3 linked regions of the Saccharomyces cerevisiae S288C genome follow. The gene in region 1 interacts genetically with each later gene. Each region holds a gene or a part of one and is shown on either strand. Other genes may lie near its edges.

The links. A genetic interaction does not mean that the proteins touch.
Region 2: mutations in MET5 (region 1) and RPL37B together harm fitness more than expected from each alone (negative genetic interaction), as found in Saccharomyces cerevisiae (2 studies listed by BioGRID).
Region 3: mutations in MET5 (region 1) and IRC7 together harm fitness more than expected from each alone (negative genetic interaction), as found in Saccharomyces cerevisiae (one large-scale study listed by BioGRID).

The regions. Positions count from the first base shown.
Region 1 is NC_001142.9:676,442-686,612, reverse strand, and holds MET5 (sulfite reductase (NADPH) subunit beta), read left to right. Parts: upstream 1-3,327; coding exon 3,328-7,656; downstream 7,657-10,171. Other genes in the region: GTPase-activating protein IML1, read right to left, coding at 1-2,046; TTI2 (Tti2p), read left to right, coding at 7,907-9,172; protein transporter TIM8, read right to left, coding at 9,379-9,642; MCM22 (Mcm22p), read left to right, coding at 9,835-10,171. UniProt on the Saccharomyces cerevisiae protein: Catalyzes the reduction of sulfite to sulfide, one of several activities required for the biosynthesis of L-cysteine from sulfate.
Region 2 is NC_001136.10:1,448,419-1,454,729, reverse strand, and holds RPL37B (60S ribosomal protein eL37 RPL37B), read left to right. Parts: upstream 1-3,876; coding exon 3,877-3,883; intron 3,884-4,272; coding exon 4,273-4,532; downstream 4,533-6,311. Other genes in the region: methionine adenosyltransferase SAM2, read left to right, coding at 266-1,420; PLM2 (Plm2p), read right to left, coding at 1,812-3,377; LCD1 (Lcd1p), read right to left, coding at 4,657-6,311.
Region 3 is NC_001138.5:260,355-267,005, forward strand, and holds IRC7 (cysteine-S-conjugate beta-lyase IRC7), read left to right. Parts: upstream 1-3,849; coding exon 3,850-4,872; downstream 4,873-6,651.

The sequences.
Region 1 (10,171 bases):
ATCAGCAGATCTCACAGAGACCAATGAGTCATTCATTTCGAGATTGTCATTGTTAGAAGTGGTGGGAGTGCTAATTTTATCATTTGTAGTATTACAATCATCATAAAAAGAGGCCTCTATTGTTTTTATTGATAGATCTGGTATTACGTTTGGTTTTTGAATATCCTTAATGGCTGGGAGAGCAACTTTTGGACCTCTCCATATGAATTTTGTGTTACCGTGTGTTGTTGTTGCTGTTGCCGGGATTTTCCTTGCCTTCACAACAACATCATTCTCGAAGACGGTATCAAACTTTGAATTTAATTTCTTAGATTGTTTCGTATTAGAGCCAGCGCATAAAATTTTCACCTCGAAGGCATTTTTGTCGTAATCATTCATAAACTCGGATAGTGATTTGACTTTCTTGTTCAGCTGTAAATATTCAACATCCACTTCCCGAATTAACTCATTTTCAGTAATCCCCATCATTTGTAAGTCATAAATTTTACATCTTGGAGTCCATTCTGAGTTACTCTTTTTGTCATGATCATTCCAAAAGAAAACACTTAACCAAAGCGGTACACAATGATGAAGCTTGTTCTCAAAGTCTCGGTACCTAAAAAGTGGAACTATGTGCAATGGAGCTTTTGAAAGACATATTAAATCCATCGTCATTTCAAGAGAGAGTAGTTTTTTTCCTGTTAGCCTTAATAAACTATAATCAACGTCAAATAATCCAGACCCTGGTGAAATAATCATGACGTGCGTTGTAGTGTGTCGAAGATCTAATTGCTTGAAAGGATCCGTTAAAATTGTCGTGGCAAAATTGACCAATTCGAGAAAATTCGACTTGATTACAGGTGAAAATCTTCCATTCGCTACACTGTAACCCTTATCCGTTTGCTTGTTTAATAAATCTTTTCTGATTTCCATAAATTCTTCTCTTAATGTTTCCATAATATCAACCCAATGGATAATACTGACTTGATCTACAACTATCCTAAAATAATCCTGTGAATTTTTCAAAGATTCGCCGGGTGTTAAGTCCTTGAATGATGTATCAGACAAGTCCATTGATATAGCGAAGGCTATAGTGATAGTATGGTGGGTGTCCACATCTTTCCATTTTTTGAAGATCTTCGGGAAAAATGAATTAACCATCTTTTGAAATAATTGTTCACCAGTTTCTTCGAAGTTCCACATTTCATCAGTTATTTGAATCAAAAAAATTAATCTGGCAGATTCGGACCGAAAAATTATCCTTGTTTGTTCGCCAATATATCCAGAAACAATCTTCTTACCATTTCGATAAATTCCCTTAATAGTACCTCTGATAGAGTCTAAGAATGCCAGTCTTTGATCCATAAACACACATGTATCTACCAGCTTAGATGATAGAACCCACATATCACCTCTATTTAGTAGGCAATCTTTGATATTAAACTCTACCACATCTGCCTGTAAGTCAAATTTGTTTGGTTTCAATTTTATCCATATCCTAGACCTAGAAGGCAAATCTAACAAAGTTTGCAGTTGACCCGAAAGTATTGAAACATTAGATGTTTTTGCCCTTCTTTTAGTCTCTCCGTCAAAATCTTTTGCAATAAAATAAATTTTCTTATCTCCGTTCGATGCAGATGGATTTTTGTGATATGTTTTCAATTCTACCAAATCACCAGGTTTTATATCCGGGAACTCAACTAGATTTAGCATCACTAAATTCTCGGAAAATCGGGACTCATGATAGCCTAATTCAGCTTGATACGCCTTTATTTTCAGTCCTGGAATATGATGGCGATGGACCCGTTCCCCATTGTCATAATTGTTGTCACCACCATTGTTGACGTTATCGTCATTTTCCTTATTTGAAATCAGCTTTCTGCCGGAAGCCCTTTGTTGAGAACCAAACTGCTCTTTCTTTTGTCTTAAATTTCTATTGGAACCTACTATCAAATTACCCGATGATAAGGATATGCTATTTGCGTGAGTAGTATTGCTAGTCCTTGGAGTTTGTGAATTGATGGAAGAAATTGGTCTTTGTTTCTTCCCATGCAATTTAGCGAACATCCTTAAAAAGTGTCCCTTGTCAGTGCTGAGTTATTTCCCTGCTTAAAAAGTAGTTACAGAAACAATTCGTTGTTCTGTCACTTACTATCTTTTAAACAATAATGATTAACATAGATAGTGATTCAAATAGTCACGTGATCTCTTTTAGAGAAAGGACTTAATCCGTACACAATGATTTAATTTTTCATTACCTTATAATGTGATAGTCATAATAGCAATGAAGGATTAGTAATTACCAATATAAGAGCTCTAGCACATTAGCTATGAATTTGTCAGCCGCACCAAACTAACATAAAGGTCTTACTATGTTAAAAGTTCTTGTCCTTGAATAGAAATAAATGAATGAATCTAGTACCCTTCCCCATTCACCTAAGTTGGCTAGCCATATTTTCGGAAAAAGAGTGGGAGGAACAAGATGCTAGATAAACAAATATTCATGTTATTAAGCTTAGAATTTTGGCTCTGTTTTGTTTATTTCCAGATTTCTATTTTCTGCTATTCATCCAAAATATATTTTCTCACAAAAGCTGTTAATTTGAAACTAATGTTAAACAAAACATCTCACTTCAAATTGAAGCCAAATTAGAACCTAAGTAACCAACACACGCACAACTTTCATCCCTTATCCCACTTCTTTGAAAACTTTTAGAAGCCATTGATGGTATTGTACATTTACCTATCTTAGCAGATTCCTTATTAGCCGCCGAAATGGGTAATAAGTATTATAATCACTAAATACGAAAAATTTATTCATACCAACCCGCAACATGAACTACAAACCTTTGGGTATATAATGACAAAGACGTATCAAACCAACACATAAGGCTATTTTCAGGCAACTAATATGCTGTTTTATCTGCGGAATTTCACCAACTGACTTTTACTAAGCACTCAATAAAGATGCAGGTAAAATACGTGGATTTATGAATCCGGGTAATATAATTTGTCCACGTGATATTTCACAGAATGAATTTCATCACGTGCGTATTATCTCTTAACTCATAATGCCACAATTACCACCACACAGAGGCAGGAATGGTTTAACTGCTAAGAGACACTGGAAAATTTGAGTCATGGAGATGCGACGAATTACTGGCCGCTGCAAGCAGTTATATAAAGTGTTGGAAGACGATAGTTTTTAATGTGAAATAAAATTGGGATATAGAAAGGTTCCTTTGCTTGTTATTTTTTTTCCATCGTCTTGATATTTATTCAGATCCCTTATATACTAATAAAGTAACAGTAGGGAACGGGAACCAGAGAAAAACAAAAGATTGGCGAATGACTGCTTCTGACCTCTTGACGCTCCCACAATTGTTGGCGCAATATTCCTCTAGTGCTCCCCAAAATAAAGTGTTCTACACTACTAGCACAAAAAATAGTCATTCATCCTTCAAAGGGCTAGAATCTGTTGCCACAGATGCTACTCATCTATTGAACAATCAAGATCCATTGAATACCATCAAAGATCAACTCTCTAAGGACATTTTAACTACCGTTTTTACAGATGAAACTACTTTGGTCAAATCCATCCACCATCTATATTCTCTTCCTAATAAACTTCCATTGGTGATTACAGTGGATTTGAATTTGCAAGATTATTCCGCAATTCCTGCGTTAAAGGATCTTTCTTTCCCCATCTTAATATCTTCTGATTTGCAAACTGCAATTTCAAACGCGGACTCTTCTTATAAGATTGCTACAAGTTCTCTGACCCCAGTTTTCCATTTTCTTAACTTGGAGAAAATTGGCACGAGTACAGCTATTGAACAAGACATCGACTTTCCTACCTTGGAGATTGCTAACGAAGAGACTAAAGTAGCATTATCAGAAGCTACTGATTCATTGACAAATTTTGAACTGGTTAAAGGTAAAGAGTCAATTACCACTGTCATTGTTAACCTGTCACCATATGACGCGGAATTCAGTAGCGTATTGCCTTCAAACGTAGGATTGATCAAGATTAGAGTATACAGACCATGGAATTTTTCCAAGTTCTTGGAAATACTGCCATCTTCTGTTACCAAAATCGCCGTTTTACAGGGTGTCTCTAAGAAATCGCAATCAAACGAATTTCAACCATTTCTTTTGGACTTCTTTGGCAATTTTAATGAATTAGTTTCTAGGAACATCGAGCAGGTAGTGTTGACTAATATTGGTAATGTGAATGATTATGGCAACGTTATCAACACCGTCATATCGAATATTAACAAGAAGGAACCAGATAATAACTTATTTTTAGGTGAATCCAATGAAAAGGCTGAGGAACAAGCTGAAGTTACTCAACTTATTTCTTCTGTCAAAAAAGTTGTGAACTTAGAAGACGCCTATATCAAAGTGCTAAAACAGTTATTTTCATCAAATCTACAAATTTTGAATCAATTTTCCAGTGAGACAATTGAACCAAGTAATCCAGAATTTGGTTTTGGACGCTTTTTAAAACAAGAAGCCCAGCGTGAAGAATTGATCAGCTTAGCAAAAACCTCTCTTGATCCAAGTCTTTACTTGTCCGAGGATGCAAATAAAATTGTTCAACTATTATCTAAATGGTTGTCATTCAATGGACGCGATCTTGACGAAGCTCAATTACAAGAGGCCAATGCGACAGGTTTGGAAATATTTCAGTTATTACAATCTAATCAAGATTCCTCTACTGTCTTAAAATTCTTAAAGATAGCTCCAACAAGCGATTCTTTTATTTTCAAATCAAGCTGGCTAATTGGCTCCGATGCCTGGTCTTATGATTTGGGTCACTCAGGTATTCAACAGGTTTTATCCTCCCGTAAAAACATTAATGTTTTATTGATTGATTCAGAGCCATATGACCATAGAAAGCAAAACCAGGATAGAAAGAAAGATGTTGGTTTGTACGCCATGAATTATTACAGTGCCTATGTTGCCTCTGTAGCAGTATATGCTTCTTACACCCAACTATTGACTGCAATAATAGAGGCATCTAAATACAATGGTCCTTCTATTGTCTTGGCTTATTTGCCGTATAATTCCGAAAATGATACTCCATTAGAAGTCTTAAAGGAAACCAAAAACGCCGTTGAATCTGGTTACTGGCCATTGTATAGGTTTAATCCTGTTTATGACGATCCATCAACAGATAAGGAGGCATTTAGCTTGGATTCTTCGGTTATCAGAAAACAATTACAGGACTTCTTAGACCGTGAGAATAAGCTTACCCTATTAACCAGAAAAGATCCATCTTTGTCAAGAAATCTAAAGCAATCTGCTGGTGATGCGTTGACAAGGAAACAAGAAAAAAGAAGCAAGGCTGCCTTCGATCAGTTATTGGAGGGTTTGTCCGGCCCACCGCTACACGTCTATTATGCTTCTGACGGTGGTAATGCTGCAAACTTGGCAAAGAGACTAGCAGCAAGGGCATCTGCAAGAGGTTTAAAGGCTACTGTTCTGTCCATGGATGACATTATTTTGGAAGAATTACCTGGTGAAGAGAATGTAGTTTTCATTACTTCCACGGCTGGGCAAGGTGAATTCCCCCAAGACGGTAAGTCTTTCTGGGAAGCTCTGAAAAATGACACCGACTTGGATTTAGCTAGTTTGAATGTTGCTGTTTTTGGTCTCGGTGATTCTGAGTATTGGCCACGTAAAGAAGATAAACATTATTTTAACAAGCCTTCACAGGATTTATTTAAGCGCTTGGAATTATTGAGTGCCAAAGCCCTAATTCCCTTGGGACTGGGTGATGATCAAGATGCTGATGGTTTCCAAACTGCTTATTCTGAGTGGGAACCTAAATTATGGGAAGCTCTTGGTGTTTCCGGCGCTGCTGTTGATGATGAGCCAAAACCTGTTACAAACGAGGATATTAAGAGAGAATCTAATTTCTTGAGAGGTACTATCAGTGAGAACTTAAAGGATACTTCTTCAGGTGGTGTTACTCACGCTAATGAACAATTAATGAAATTTCACGGTATTTACACCCAAGACGATCGTGACATTAGAGAAATACGTAAGTCACAAGGCTTAGAGCCATACTATATGTTTATGGCAAGAGCTCGTTTACCAGGTGGTAAGACCACTCCACAACAATGGCTTGCTCTGGATCACTTATCTGATACTTCAGGCAATGGTACCCTGAAATTAACAACAAGGGCAACCTTCCAGATTCATGGTGTGCTAAAGAAGAACTTGAAACACACATTGAGAGGAATGAATGCAGTTCTTATGGATACATTAGCTGCTGCAGGTGACGTGAACAGAAATGTCATGGTTTCTGCTCTACCAACCAATGCCAAGGTTCACCAACAAATCGCTGATATGGGAAAATTGATTTCTGATCATTTCTTACCAAAGACTACGGCCTACCACGAAGTTTGGCTGGAGGGCCCAGAAGAACAGGACGATGATCCATCCTGGCCATCTATTTTTGAAAACAGAAAAGATGGTCCAAGAAAAAAGAAGACTCTAGTTAGCGGTAACGCTTTGGTCGATATTGAACCAATTTACGGTCCAACTTATCTGCCAAGAAAGTTTAAATTCAACATCGCCGTTCCTCCATATAACGATGTGGATGTATTATCTATCGATGTCGGTTTAGTTGCTATAGTTAACCCAGAAACTCAAATCGTGGAGGGTTATAATGTTTTTGTTGGTGGTGGTATGGGTACCACTCATAACAACAAGAAAACTTACCCAAGATTAGGGTCATGCTTAGGTTTTGTTAAAACTGAAGACATTATTCCACCACTTGAAGGTATCGTTATTGTCCAAAGAGATCACGGTGACCGTAAAGACCGTAAGCATGCTCGTTTAAAGTATACTGTAGATGATATGGGTGTCGAAGGCTTCAAGCAAAAAGTGGAGGAATACTGGGGTAAGAAATTCGAGCCTGAGAGACCATTTGAGTTTAAATCTAATATTGATTACTTTGGATGGATTAAAGATGAAACTGGGTTAAACCACTTTACCGCATTTATTGAAAATGGTAGGGTTGAAGATACACCAGATTTGCCTCAAAAGACAGGTATTAGAAAGGTTGCTGAATACATGCTTAAGACTAATTCTGGTCATTTCAGATTGACTGGTAATCAACATTTGGTTATCTCTAATATTACAGATGAACATGTTGCTGGAATAAAATCTATTTTAAAGACCTATAAATTGGATAACACCGATTTCAGCGGTTTGAGATTATCTTCATCTTCCTGTGTTGGTTTGCCAACATGTGGTTTAGCGTTTGCCGAATCTGAACGTTTCCTACCTGACATTATTACTCAGTTGGAAGATTGTTTAGAAGAGTATGGTTTACGCCATGATTCCATTATTATGAGAATGACTGGTTGCCCTAACGGTTGTTCTCGTCCATGGCTAGGTGAATTAGCTCTTGTTGGTAAAGCTCCACATACTTATAACTTGATGCTTGGTGGTGGTTACCTCGGCCAAAGGCTAAACAAATTGTATAAGGCCAATGTGAAGGATGAGGAAATTGTCGACTACATCAAACCATTGTTTAAAAGGTATGCTTTAGAAAGAGAAGAAGGGGAACACTTTGGTGATTTCTGTATAAGAGTAGGTATCATTAAACCAACCACCGAGGGTAAATACTTCCATGAAGATGTGTCTGAAGATGCCTATTAATGATAGCATATGACATAGTAGGACATACTATTGGGTTTTCTTCCCACATTTATTTATTTTTTTCGCAATTGAATATAACTTTTTATTTTATAGAAACATATTTATTTGTATAATCTTGTATATTAACAGTTAAGACTCATTATTGTTATCCTTCGGCTAGTTCGGTTTTTCAATAGCAGATGAGAAACGAAAACTATGAAGAATGAAAACGAGGTGAAGAATAAAATCATATAACAAAATATTGAAAAGAATGACGGCCGTAACTGATATCATCGATGAATTGAATGATTCGAGTCTTTCTTCTACAAGGCTTCGAGAGTTGTGTCTCCAGTTACGAAAGAAGACAGATACTGGATGTGCAATTACGGTGTCCGATGAGGTCAACCTTATTGAATCTCTCTCATATCACTCCATATCTCCAGGAGTAGACATACAAATCAACACAGATGTTTTGCAGACTATAGATTACTACTTTCAGCGTAACAAAAGTGAACATGACGAAATTATGTGCGTCCTTATTTCTAAGTTACAGCCACTACTTTTAAAACGCAAAAGCAACTTCGAACTCAAAGAGCAACGTAATCTTGGTCTCAAACCCACGCTTGGAATGTCTTTGAAAGAAGATAACCTAATGCAGGCGTGGGTAAGTCAGGGTGGCTTGAAAGGCATTCCGTTATTCTACGTAATTCTGTTACATTTGAAAAGGAGAGACATATCTACGAATCTTTCTTGGATTATTCCAGGAATTCTAAACATACTAGATGATACCACTGATATAAGAAGAATTAAACTTCGTGGTGTTCTGCTCCTACAGACGCTATTAAATCATACCTTTATGAACGAAACCAATGACTCAAAATGGATACAGTTCTCTAGTACTGGTTTATTTCCACTGTTCGAAAAGACGCTAATCAATATGTGCTATTTTCTCCCTCCCTCATACAATGCTGATGAAACAATAGCCATATGGCGGGTCGTTTTCCCAACGATACAGTCGTTATATAAAGTAGAATTTTTGGACAATTACACAAAGTATCAATATCACCTGGAAAAGTTCATGTCAGAGATAATCTTGCAAAACATAATTCCTAGGGCTAGCCTTGCATACGAAAATTTGACGTTATACGCATTGGAATGCACAATGAACATACTGAGACTTCAAAGAGAAGGGTCTGTTGTACATCTCCAGAGGCTGATTTTTGTTTTAGGTGAATATATTGTACGAAATCCTTTTTACACAACTTTTCCAAAACTTATTTCAAAAACTCTTTCAGTGGTAAGTACTCTCATAAAGGTTTGCCCGAATGAAAGAATAGTGGCTCACAGATTCGACATTTTATCATTAATTCTAGTTACATACGATAAGTGTTCGCAAGAGGATGCGTTGAACGAATCAATACTACAACAATGTAAGGAAACGATAAGCTGGTTGCTGAATTGTGACTGCGCTATGGGTGAACAGTTATCGACTCTATCTAAGCAACCGCGGTTTCAGTTACTTTTTGAGTTCTCATAGGAAACAGACACAGACACAGACAAATGCATATACATATATATATATATATAACTAGACAGTATATAAACAAAAAGAGTTATTTGCCCTTTATGCTGAAGAATCCCTTTTAAAGAAACCTTGGACATATATTAAAATATTCATTTGCTTATTTACAGATATATTAAGGTAAAGAGAATAATGACTCGGAGAGATAAATCGGTTTCATATTAACGGGTGTTTTGCAACCCGTTCACAATCCTGATATTAGTATCCAAAAACCGATTCACACAGTTAGACAAACATTGCTCTTCTTGCGAACTTAAATTAGAATCATTGACAGACTCAACACATTTTTTGAAGCATATATTAGTGAATTGATGGATTGACATCTGGACTTTTTGTTTGGAGTTCTCTCCCTCCAAGAAAGTAGCAATTTCCTTTTTGGAAGTGTCATCAAGGGAGGCCAAATCAGACGTTGATAGAGAAGACATTCTTTGTTGTTTGTAAATTTGTTTTCCTTTTTACCTCTTCTTCAATACTTTCATATAAATGAATGTTTCCATCAATTTTTACGTTAGTTAATAACTAACCGTTCGCTTTGATATGCAGCGTAACAACAAACAAGACGCATATGACGACAAAGAGGGACAAGAGCAAACGGCAGAAAGTCTCACAAAGGAAACATGGATGTTGAAAAGGATGTCCTGGATGTCTACATAAAGAACCTGGAGAACCAGATCGGAAACAAACGATATTTCTTGAAGCAAGCTCAAGGTGCCATCGATGAGATCACGAAGAGATCTCTGGATACAGAGGGTAAACCGGTCAATTCTGAGGTCTTTACAGAGTTATTAAGAAAACCCATGTTCTTCTCAGAGAGAGCTGATCCTATTGGTTTCAGTTTGACATCGAATTTTTTGTCTTTGAGAGCCCAAAGTTCCAGTGAATGGCTCTCGCTTATGAATGATCAATCAGTTGATCAAAAGGCCATGTTATTGTTACAGAATAATATTAATAGTG
Region 2 (6,311 bases), on another chromosome or scaffold:
AGATATTAACCGAAGCCAAAATACCGATGAAATTTCTGAGATAGCTCTTGTAAACGACGTCAAATCTTCATATGCAAGGAGATCTTGATTTCTTTTTGGTAGTCATCTGTCGTCTTGAGGCGTATAAGAAGGAGGTTATATCTGTCCTTTCTACAAAGTATTTTCGAGAATCTTGCTTCTGCCCCTTTTTTCTTTTTTTAAAAGGTTTAAAAAACATAACTGTCTTCAATATATCCAGTATTTACGACAATATACAAACATAATCATGTCCAAGAGCAAAACTTTCTTATTTACCTCTGAATCCGTCGGTGAAGGTCACCCAGACAAGATTTGTGACCAAGTTTCTGATGCTATTTTGGACGCTTGTTTAGAACAAGATCCATTCTCCAAGGTTGCCTGTGAAACAGCTGCCAAAACTGGTATGATTATGGTTTTCGGTGAAATTACCACCAAAGCTAGACTTGACTACCAACAAATAGTAAGAGATACCATCAAGAAGATTGGTTATGACGATTCTGCCAAGGGTTTCGACTACAAGACATGTAATGTTTTAGTAGCTATCGAACAACAATCTCCAGATATCGCTCAAGGTCTGCACTATGAAAAGAGCTTAGAAGACTTAGGTGCTGGTGACCAAGGTATAATGTTTGGTTACGCTACAGACGAAACTCCAGAAGGGTTACCATTGACCATTCTTTTGGCTCACAAATTGAACATGGCTATGGCAGATGCTAGAAGAGATGGTTCTCTCCCATGGTTGAGACCAGACACAAAGACTCAAGTCACTGTCGAATACGAAGACGACAATGGTAGATGGGTTCCAAAGAGGATAGATACCGTTGTTATTTCTGCTCAACATGCTGATGAAATTTCCACCGCTGACTTGAGAACTCAACTTCAAAAAGATATTGTTGAAAAGGTCATACCAAAGGATATGTTAGACGAAAATACCAAATATTTCATCCAACCATCCGGTAGATTCGTCATCGGTGGTCCTCAAGGTGACGCTGGTTTGACCGGTAGAAAGATTATTGTCGACGCTTACGGTGGTGCCTCATCCGTCGGTGGTGGTGCCTTCTCCGGTAAGGACTATTCCAAGGTCGATCGTTCCGCTGCTTACGCTGCTAGATGGGTTGCCAAGTCTCTAGTTGCCGCTGGTTTGTGTAAGAGAGTCCAAGTCCAATTTTCATATGCTATTGGTATTGCTGAACCATTGTCTTTACATGTGGACACCTATGGTACAGCTACAAAATCAGATGACGAAATCATTGAAATTATTAAGAAGAACTTCGACTTGAGACCAGGTGTGTTAGTAAAGGAATTAGATTTGGCTAGACCAATTTACTTACCAACCGCTTCTTATGGTCACTTCACTAATCAAGAGTACTCATGGGAAAAACCAAAGAAATTGGAATTTTAAACATTTAGACAATAAATGTTTTATTTTGATTTTTATAATTATTTCAATCCCTTTCTTTATGCTAGGCTGGTCCCGATCACCTCCCTATATTGAGAAGACGATGCCTTATCGTTTGATTCGCTCAACTCGAGTCATGTAATTACTAGAAAATGATACAATAGAAAAGTTTTAAACATTCTTAAACTTGACAAACACCAATAGAATAACATCTAGGCATAATGATCTATTTTGTATGGATTATGTATTAGCTCCTTCAACGGAAATATATAGAAAATATTACTTTATGTTTTTAGAACTTTTTGACGAGTTTTACCAGTTTTTTTCATGATGCTCCACGTGGTAATATGACTATGCTATGGAAATAAGGTTGAAATATAGAATGTCTTTGAGGTTATTTGGTCGGCCTCTTCCAGAAATACTGTTTATGTTTCTTCCTGCACGACCTTAATCGGCTCCTGCCTTTTAACGAATTATACAAAATCTTTCTCTCGTCGCTATCATCGTTTTCAACATCATAGTAATACTCGTCTTCTAATGGCTTGCCAGACGCATCTTTTCCTTCACGCACAATAATACCAATGCAAGAAATAGTCTCCAAGACCTTTTTTAGTTCATCTTTGCTTAATTGTGAAGTGTTGGAATTGATGTTTTGCAATTGGGATAAAGGCGTTTGTTGAAGGTTAGAAAATGCAAGATGATTACATAGCACATGAACTAGGTCATCAAACCGAATTCCTCTTTCTGAGAGCGACCGAGAAATTTCGGGAATAATATTCAATGAAGTCTTAAGACGTTTTTGTGCAGGAGATACAATCGCGGTTGTAGAAGACAGCTCTTTAGTTTTTTTTGCAACTGCTGCGAAAGATTCTTCTTCATTAATGCCACCACTCCTAGTACTGGCACTTAATGTCCCAATTATTTTATCTTTAGGAAGTGGTGTCTCTTGTATAGTGTTATTTTTCAATGAAATTGATTTACGCTTCAGTTTCTTTGGAGTTGATGGCTGATTAATAACGAAAGATGTTTGGGGTGTTGTTCTATAACTAATGGGGGAGTTTTTCACAAGAGCAGGAGATGCAATAAGTAATGGTTTTGAGATCTGTTCTGTACGAGGTGAATGCTCAACTGGGACAAATTTCATCGAAGGTGTTTCTTTTTGCCAAGAAAAATCATCGCTCGTTGTTGTTAATAAACACAACTCATCCTCCGTTTCTGTCGAGTTCTCTTCGTCAAAGTTATTGTTGCCATCGCCAGGATAAGGTGCTACTTTTTTCAATGAAAGACAGACTGTGACGCCTGTAAAATTTATGAAACTTCCTTGGATATAGGGGAAAGTAACAGTTTCACCTTTAGCCAAAACAAAGCTGATGAAGTTTTGGTTCTTTTGAAGAGTTTTTCCATGCGATTGTTTAGTATTTTGCGAGGTCAAAGGCTCTTCTGCCACTAGTTTATAAAAGTTCCTTGTTGGGAAGGGTTTTACCAAATGCAACTGCATGGAGTAAGGCAAGTGAACGGACAACCCATTAGTTCCATTACATTCCAATTTTATTTCATTTCTGTCGGCGGCGTATGAAATAAAAGCGTGCTGCCTAGAGATATTCTTTCTGCATGGCAAAATAATGTTGCAGACTGATTTTTTCCTACCGATGGCTAAACGTGAGGGATCCGATGCATCTAATTCAATCTCGATAGGGCCTGCAAGCACCTTTTCTTGCTTTGAAGGAGATGACAAGGCAGATTTGGTCTCATTTAAACGTGAAGTGATATCTTTCACTGGTGAAGATTGTCTTCCGATGCTAGACGACGGGTCTGGAGTAGGATACTCTTCCAATTCGTAATTATACCGTTTTCTTCCTAAGGTCAATACAGAAGTATTAGCAAGCTTACCAGGTTCTTTTTGTGGGCTTTCCAAAGGTTTACCAGCAACTGGTGATGATGGTGGGAAGAGATGGGACATAACCAAAATTGTGACGATTTTGTCGTGAAACTTCTAGCGAAAAGACTAATGAAATCGGCAAATATTGTGTAAATAGTATACCAAAAAAAAAAACGCTTCTATATATTGTTCCCCGTTGCTAGTAACGATAGAAACGGCAAATAAGGAGAGAAATTAAACTTTCTTGGGAGAGGCAGAAGTGTTTACTTATTCTTCTGAAACAAAAACAAACGCGAAAAAAAAATTATCGCGTTTGGATTATCATTATTTAGACATTAACACCTGTACATATTTGTATTTTAAAAGCCGAACATTTTTGGGTTCTATATCAGTTTTTTTTTTCTTCAAGCACTCCGTACACCACTAATATTATCACTGAGAATCTTCCTGCCACTTGCGGGAAGGATGAGATTGGAAACATGGCTGGAATAGTAAGCATAGGTTACTATAGAAAGCGGTAACAAAAAGCACTACTATGTGTAGATAAAGAACAAAGAGGTAAACGAATATATAAGTAAAGATGGGTAGTATGTACAGGAATTATTAATTGATGAGTCAACGTTCAATCACATCCGGTCTGATTTAGAGGATTACATGAGAAAGAAGCACTGAAAAAATTTTCCACCAGGAGAGGCCAGGTAAACTAAGACCTACGTTATTCACTATGCCAAAAGATTTAAAAATATAGAATGATGAATGTTGCCAGAGCCATTGATGATAAGAAATTGCACATAACGGATGCATAAAGAGCGAATAAAAAGATTTGAGTGTCAATACAAAAAGGTGAGAAGAAATAGTGTAAGACAGCAACACACATCTAGACCGCCAATGAAGTTGTTCTGAATCCAGCAGTAGAGTTTATTTAGTTCAAAGTTTTACTAACGATAATTAACTTTTATGTTTTCATTTTAAACAGAGGGTACTCCTTCATTCGGTAAGCGTCACAACAAATCTCACACCTTGTGTAACAGATGTGGTCGTCGTTCTTTCCATGTTCAAAAGAAGACCTGTTCCTCTTGTGGTTACCCATCCGCTAAGACTAGATCTCACAACTGGGCTGCCAAGGCAAAGAGAAGACACACTACTGGTACCGGTAGAATGAGATATTTGAAGCATGTCTCCAGAAGATTTAAGAACGGTTTCCAAACCGGTTCTGCTAAGGCTACTTCTGCTTAAATTTGATATTATCTATAAGTTTTGTTCTTTCCTAAAACGAAAATAATATAAATTATATATAGTTAATATTAAGCATTACAAGGTTTCTATAAAGCGTTGACATTTTCCCCTTTTGATTGTTGCCTTACAGTCCCATTGAGATATATAATGAATCGGCCTCCTCTAGTGTGGTTAGATCGAATGATTTTGACTCAAGAATAGTTCTTGCCATTTCTTGAAATTTCTCATCGTACTTTACTTGCATTATTCTCCCCGTTCTTTTATTCAATTGCATCTTCAATTCTTCTTCGATATATTCTGGTAAATCCTCAAAGGCATCTTCGTAATAAGAGGCTTGATCCTTTATCGTCAGATCATGCAAACTATCTACAAGGTGTCGATGATCTCTCATTTCTCTTTCGTTTGCTGTCACAGTTTCGGTTTGGCATACGAGAAACCTCCATAGTGACATAATCAATTGGCTTTCTACCTGCTTGATTTGTTCTTCACGCAATTGTTTGAAATGGTCTTTCCATAGCCTATATATTATGGTTAAAGTATGTTCAATAAGATGGCATCTGAGGTCCAAGTTCGGGGAGTCTTGTCCCACGTACCTTTCTATCATTAACGCTTGCTCCCTGGATAAGAATTTAGAGGAGTGGATGAGCATTTCTCCATTTACTATGGTCGCATCGTCTCCATAGATCATTAATAAATTTTCAAAAATATTTAAAACTTCATCTTTTAACTTCAAAAGCCATTTTTCCATCTTGTAACCTATTATAGGGGCAGTGAATTTGTCGCTATCCATCCCAATATCCTCTTTAGAAATTACCCTTGGGACACTTTGCAATCGGTCAGTATAAATCAGCTTTGATATCAATCCTCCCAATTCATTATCACCTATATTTCGGATTAACCCAAAAAAGTCATGGTACTTCGACATATGAAGAGTTGTAGTATCCACATTTTCATTATATACGTCGCCACTCTTAATTTCCTTTTCCAAAAGAGCGTATAATCTTGTAATACAATCTCTCCACCAACTACCGCTTATCAAGGATTTCAGATCTGAGGAATTGTCCATATTTAATATTATACTAGTGATAATATTAACGACCTCGACTGCACTAAATATTACATTTACCATTGGCTTGTATGAAATGGTTAGTGCTAGTTTGTAGACAAATTCAAATGATTTTAGAATATTTTCATCAAAAAATTCCATATAAGTTTGCTTAGGATGCGACTGCAGTACCCTTAATATACCTTCTAGGAGATCAAAGGAATACGAAATTATCAAATAGTCTATCAGTTCATATTGGAAAATCTGAGGTTCTACATGCAAATTCATATTTGATTCATGTATCGGTACTTTCAATACATGATGATAGATTCTTATTAAATCGCAAATAAAAAGAAAACAATCCTTCAGTGCTAAATTATGAGTGGCACTAGGACGAAATTGTACAATCTGATACATCAATGCAACGAGAAATGGGACAGCTAATTTCGATTCATTTGGATGAACTGATATTTCCTTGATCAAAACAGCTATATCCTCTAGCAAAGTATCTATGAACCTGTCGAGGGTCAACGTCTTTTTACATCGCAAAAGTAGAGAAACTATGGACTTCCCTATGGGGGCTCCTTTAGCAATGACGAAATTCTTAAATTTAAACTCTGTGATGTAGTCAAGCTTCAATCTATTTAATATTTCTATTGTGCTCAGGTCAGCGCCTATTATTTGATGAAGTAATATTGACTCTAGAAATAAACTCGTTTCATCGGGAATAATCC
Region 3 (6,651 bases), on another chromosome or scaffold:
CGTAATAAAAATCAACCTGCTCATTGACAATTGGATTATTTTTGGCTGTTCAAGATTAAAACAGACTCAGTAGGCAAAAACTTCAATCAATAGTACCGGGAAGATGACATTCCGGTCTAAGTGGTATTATACACTTATAGTAAAGTCACGTCAACCTTTGTTACTTTTCTTAATTGATTATATACGCACTCTTCTCAATATTTGATTTCTTCATCGAAAAGATCTACACGAAGTTTTTATCATGTGTTAGCGTGATGGAAAAGATCTGTGCACGTTTAATTAGAATTGCAAAAGCTTCAATGGGTTTGATTGAGATTTTTATTTTCAATTCACTCATCTTGATGTTCACCACCAAGCCTACATCGAAACTTTGAAATACAGGAAAGTTGCAGGAGGCTTTATTGGTTGAATTGAAAAAGAAAGGAAGAAAAACGTAATGGTAAAATAAAACTCGACTATGGCGCAACCGATAGAGAGTTTAGTGGCATTAGAAATTTTAAAAGAAGCTTTAAACTACAAAGTGTTCTTCTGAATCTGAATAAGGTCACTTACATAGAAACCTACTTACCTCAAAAGCGTAATTCCGAAAGGCAAAAGAAAAACTTTTGTAGAATCTTCAGCTGCTAGAAGTTCAAATAGAAGACAAATTACGGACTTGTTGCAGTATATGCCAAGCTACAGAAGAAATTATATTTCTTAATACGTACAGAAGGTATGAAACGTTAGTTTACTCACAGAAGATACCCTGGCTTTTCTTTTATTAATACATGGAGTTGCAAAAAACAAGGGAAAGGAAAATCAATCAAATTAGAATTAAGGTTTTTTTTGGACAGTGCAGCGTCAATGCGCACGTAATGGCTTCGAAGAAAAAAAGAAGGCAAATACAATGAAGCTGAGATCTTGTTTTATCATGAGGGGAAATAAATTGGAAGCATTGAAGTTGTTGGAATGAAACTCTAAAATATCATCTGTTTAGTAGTATCGTGTTACTAGTACATTATCACATACAGTGTAAGAAAATGACATTAGGTATGAGAAACAGTCATCAAATCTAATGGAAGCGAAATTCAAGGGTTGGTGATGTAATAGGATAATGAAACATATAAAACGGAAGTAAAAATAATCGTAATATTACAAGGAGACCAAACAAACAGTCGAGAGAAGCGTATGCACAATCATGCAAGAAAAATTTTCTGGAAGAATTTATTTAATCTTAAATTACAAATCTTAGTAGTAATGGTCACTTCTGATAGTTTCGAAAAAGGAAAGAGGAGATGACTATTGAGTCAAATTTTTTTGACGGAAACTTAGCGACCGAAAAATATATATGATAATAAGAAAACGAATGGCATACAATGATTAGTTTCAAATATTTCACGCGCAAAGAAAGAATTCTACTACCGGAGTGTGCCCTTCTTGTACTTTATTATCAGACTGTGTCTCTCTAATTGCGTGTTGTCCGCGGAATAATGCTCTAATTTAAAAAATCGACATATTCTGACTTGTATGGCGCTTTGCATTGGTGTTTATATGTTAATAACCCCTAATCATACTCTATATGAATACTTTCAAATTTACCAACACAATAAAATCTTCATATTCTCATGCATGTTTTGCCCTGTATCACTAAATAATACATACTTTACCGAAGCTGGTTGTATTTCGTGTATATCATAGCCAATGATGCCGTTATAATGTCCGAAATATTATCGCTTAATGAAGGGAAGCAGCTAACAAATATGACAAATACAGCAATTTCTTACACCGGTAACTAATGATTATACAAACAAGACTTGATTTTTTTTATGGCCTGTAAGAATATATCATAACGTGAGTTCTAGATATTTAAAGTTCTTTATGCATATTCTAGTCTACGTATATAGGAGTTCCAAAAAAAAAAAAAATTAAATGCACGTTATTCTTGACGCTAGTGTAAGTTTTTATGTACTTTACCTGCTAGCTTCGTATTTCTGTCTTGGGATATTCTTGTCCCTATTATGAGAATGTACAATATGCAAAATAAAGGTAAAAGATTTGAAAAAGAGAAAATACCCAAATATCAACAAAACTACCTCTATAGGACCTGTCTCATGGTCTTGACAACTTTATGCGAAATAAGAACACGATCGTTATATCACTTAACGCTTGAGATATATACAGAATGTAGTACATGTCGGCCCTTCTACGGATTTATTACCATGTGTATACTAGAATTGATACCGGCAACCCATAGTGACTTTTAACAGGGCAATTGGATTTGCATAAAAGTATATACAGTAATAATAATATTTCCTGATGAGAAAGGTGGAAAGTATCGAGTTATGTGTACCTTCAATACCAATCTCTACCTCTCGTTAATAGTGCCACAATGCTATGGATTCTAAGCAATTTAAACCGCATAGCTATTAGTGTAGACTTCCCACTGTATTTGAATGACACGTTGCCTTCATTCCTTGTTGCGCTGAACTTTCACGTCAGATATATATACATAAGTGCAATAGAGGCCTAGGCTAATCTGCAAATTTCTCATAGATGTACACCGCCTGTGCCGTACGGCATCGCTATCTTCTGAAAGGAAACTGTAGTAAATTTACCAAAATATCTCCGAATAAAAAGAAGAGGAACATCTTTTAATGAATTATAGAGTACAAAAGAATCATTTAAAAGAGAGGGCGAGTGAAAACATGAAAAGAAACGTTACTAACTTAATTGACCTTAAAGTAGCCTCACCAGTTAAGTGCATTATTGATCATTCCATGAATAACCATTTTTAAAGACTAAGATGCTGAGTTGTGTTATATAGAGAGAAAAAAACGTACTTTCAGTTTCCATATGAGGTGGAGCGCAGGTCATAGGTATGCCGGCTCATTGTTTTCTATTTTAAAAAGTAAAAAATATGCTGCTAAAGGAACACGTGAGAAATTACATTCTCCCTAGGTCTGCGATAACGCGGTAATATTACACTGCCGCCGCCTTCCATGCCTTTGGAAAGCAGACAATGATGCTAGGCGGCGCCCAGCAGTATAAACTTTTCTTGCTTATAACCAGAACCTCTATCACAAAATTAGAAACTGCGATACTATGGGTCAGATCGACACATAGGGAGCACTATTAGGCGCAAGGCGTATACATAGGCATTGCGTGTTCAAAAATTGTCGTATGAGAAAAGTTCCAAACTTTCCACCATTACTCACCAACAACTTACACCAGCCCGGATTTAAGATTTAGCTTCCGAGAATATTGTGACTCAGCCACTGGTCTCTTGAATGTTGCGTGTAGCTTGATTAAGATTATGGCATAACCGTTTTTTTTACTTGGCAAGAGTGAACGTCCTTTTACTCCAAAAGGCTCCTGATGAAACTGGAGAGTCTCTTTGTTCTGAAATTTTTAAAGTTTAGCACACCATATTCACGCTCGAGGTGAACCCAAGTTTTCCTGAAAAATGTGCCATGAACCTGAAAAAAAGAATTATTCTCGAAAATAAAAAAGGCAATCAAGATCGGAAAGATAAGCATTTTTTTTCAATCCGTATCTAACATTCATAAAGTGATAAAAAAATTGATAACGATTTTATTGTCGCCTCTTGTTTTGAGTATATTTTTTTAACGTTCTTTTTCGGCATTCAAATTCCGTATAATCAACTCAATTGTAAGGCGCCGTAGCATCCAAATAATGTTGAAAGTGCCAATTTGCTCATCAGTGCTAAATATTCCTTGATAAAAATATAGAAGACAAGGACATATAAAAAGAAAGACTGCTCTAGTGTTGGGACACCACAATGAAAAAATACTTAACGTGTTTCGAAACTGTGAATATAAAATTCCAGCAAAAACCAAAATATTCACTACAATGATTGATCGTACCGAGTTATCGAAGTTTGGTATTACTACGCAACTGTCTGTTATTGGACGTAATCCAGATGAACAAAGTGGCTTTGTTAATCCACCTTTGTATAAGGGGTCAACCATCATTCTTAAAAAACTTAGTGATTTAGAACAAAGGAAAGGAAGATTTTACGGGACAGCAGGTTCTCCAACTATTGACAATTTAGAAAATGCCTGGACGCATTTAACCGGCGGTGCTGGGACAGTGCTATCAGCTTCTGGGCTTGGTTCTATCTCTTTGGCGCTATTGGCCCTTTCGAAAGCTGGTGATCATATCTTGATGACTGATAGTGTCTACGTGCCAACACGTATGCTATGTGATGGTTTATTGGCCAAGTTCGGTGTTGAAACGGATTATTATGACCCATCAATAGGGAAGGATATAGAAAAACTAGTTAAGCCAAATACAACCGTCATTTTCCTCGAAAGCCCGGGTTCTGGGACCATGGAAGTACAGGATATTCCAGCTTTGGTCTCTGTTGCCAAAAAGCATGGGATAAAGACAATTCTAGACAACACATGGGCAACGCCACTCTTTTTTGATGCTCATGCGCATGGTATCGATATTTCGGTAGAAGCTGGGACAAAATATTTGGGTGGTCATTCAGATCTTCTTATTGGTCTGGCCTCCGCAAATGAAGAATGTTGGCCGCTATTACGGTCAACTTATGATGCAATGGCAATGTTACCAGGTGCCGAGGACTGTCAATTAGCATTGCGAGGAATGCGTACATTGCACTTAAGATTGAAAGAGGTAGAAAGAAAAGCCCTGGATTTGGCTGCTTGGCTCGGAAATCGAGATGAGGTTGAAAAAGTGCTTCACCCCGCCTTTGAAGATTGTCCCGGACATGAATACTGGGTTCGTGACTACAAAGGTTCTTCAGGCTTATTTTCCATTGTCCTTAAAAATGGGTTCACAAGAGCTGGTCTGGAGAAAATGGTAGAAGGGATGAAAGTTTTGCAATTGGGATTTTCATGGGGTGGCTAGAAAAGCTTCAACATGGCCTTACAAAGGTTTTGCACTAAGAATACAAGTGGGTCTCGAAGAATTTGAAGATTTAAAAAGGGATTTTGAGTTAGGCTTTGAACGTCTCGCAGAAGAAATTTCTTTGAATCCTTTACAAATCTGATTTTTTTTCCTTTTTTTTTTGGATTTCCAAGCAATGTTGTTTGAGAAATGAATGAAATTTTTGACTATAGCTTGTCTTAGGCAGGCTGGAGTAGACAACCATCTAGTAGCCAATGTTTGCCCAGTTAATATATGGTTCAATTTTCTAGCTGTATCATATTATGGATGATGAAGCAGATAATCTTTCTTTTTTCTGTATGTCTGATTGTAATAAAGAGGCTTACCATATTGTGAATGCATTTCAATGACACTGCATAATGAAGTCATTGTATTTAGAAAAGTAATAATTTTGTATTGTATAAAGATAGAAAAAACGTATATCGTACTTATTCAGCGGAAATGATTCTGCTTTATCTACTTGCGTTCCTGAATATAATATTTGTGAACCAGGCTTGAGCTTGACACTACAGATTTTTTAGTTCGATTTCATTCAGTAGAGAAAGGCATATCAATATGACATGTGATCTCACTCCGCGGCTAAATGCTAGCAATAAAAAGAATACCGTAATAGAGATGCAGCAAAATAACCACTGGTGTTTAAGAAATAATATGATTACGTCAGTAACCGAAGAGCCCGTACGCACTCTGCTACCATAGACTATGTATATTGTTACCTATTGTAAATAGCTATGGTTACTCTAAGTACGTATGGTGCTATGCATCTCGGTGAACGGATGCAATTATGAAAGTGTAGGTCAGAACATCATCGGTGGTTTTGTCGTGTAAAAAAGGTTATAAGGAAAATTATACTCACATGATTTTATTCATCATCGTCTGTGTATCGCTTCAATTAACATTTTGAAAAAGAGATTACTTTATATGACGTTATGTATATCTTTCAACTTAAATAACCTTAGCTGGCAAAATAAAGAATAAGATAAGGGCCAAGAAGAACGCTAATACTCGTTTTTTTTCAACTACAAAACAACTAGTTGGATAATTTTGAAACAACAAAGTAGAAGTTGTACATATATTTTTGCGCATATGGCTCTGAAATATCGTATTTTTCAAAAGCCCGATACAAAGCCGTCAGCAATACCCATAGTTAAAGATTCCTTGATAACCTATAGCTTCCGTAGACAACAACACAAATTTACCACCTACTTTTAACTCACCCATGTTTTTCAGTTTATCAATGAATCTAATAAACGTGGCTTACGTAACAGCTCCGCATGGACTTGAATTTACTCCTAGCGAGCCTAGTGTTTTAATTGCTTGCATACAATCTTCATCGGAAACTAAACAGGAAATAGATGGCCCCTTTCTGTAGTAGAAGAAATGCTGTTGCTGAAATCCTCGGACAGTTCAACTCATCCATGATTGTTCTAGAGGTTCCTAGATCAGATGAAGCCTTTTGTAACACCAATGACTTATTGACAGTGTAAGCGGTATCTGGTTCAACCGAGAAGACTTTCGTATTCGATTTATGCGACCTGTAATATGTTATCACTCCTTGAGCAAAAGAATCAGCCCCACAAGGGACAAATATTACCGCAGGATCGAATGGTATTTCGCTACACAAGGTAGTGTAACCATAAGAAATCCAGTTAGGAATTTCATCATAACCTATGAATGAAAAATCTTGAATAAGTTGATTTTTTTGTCGGATCGCTACTACAAAACTCTAAAGAACTTTTT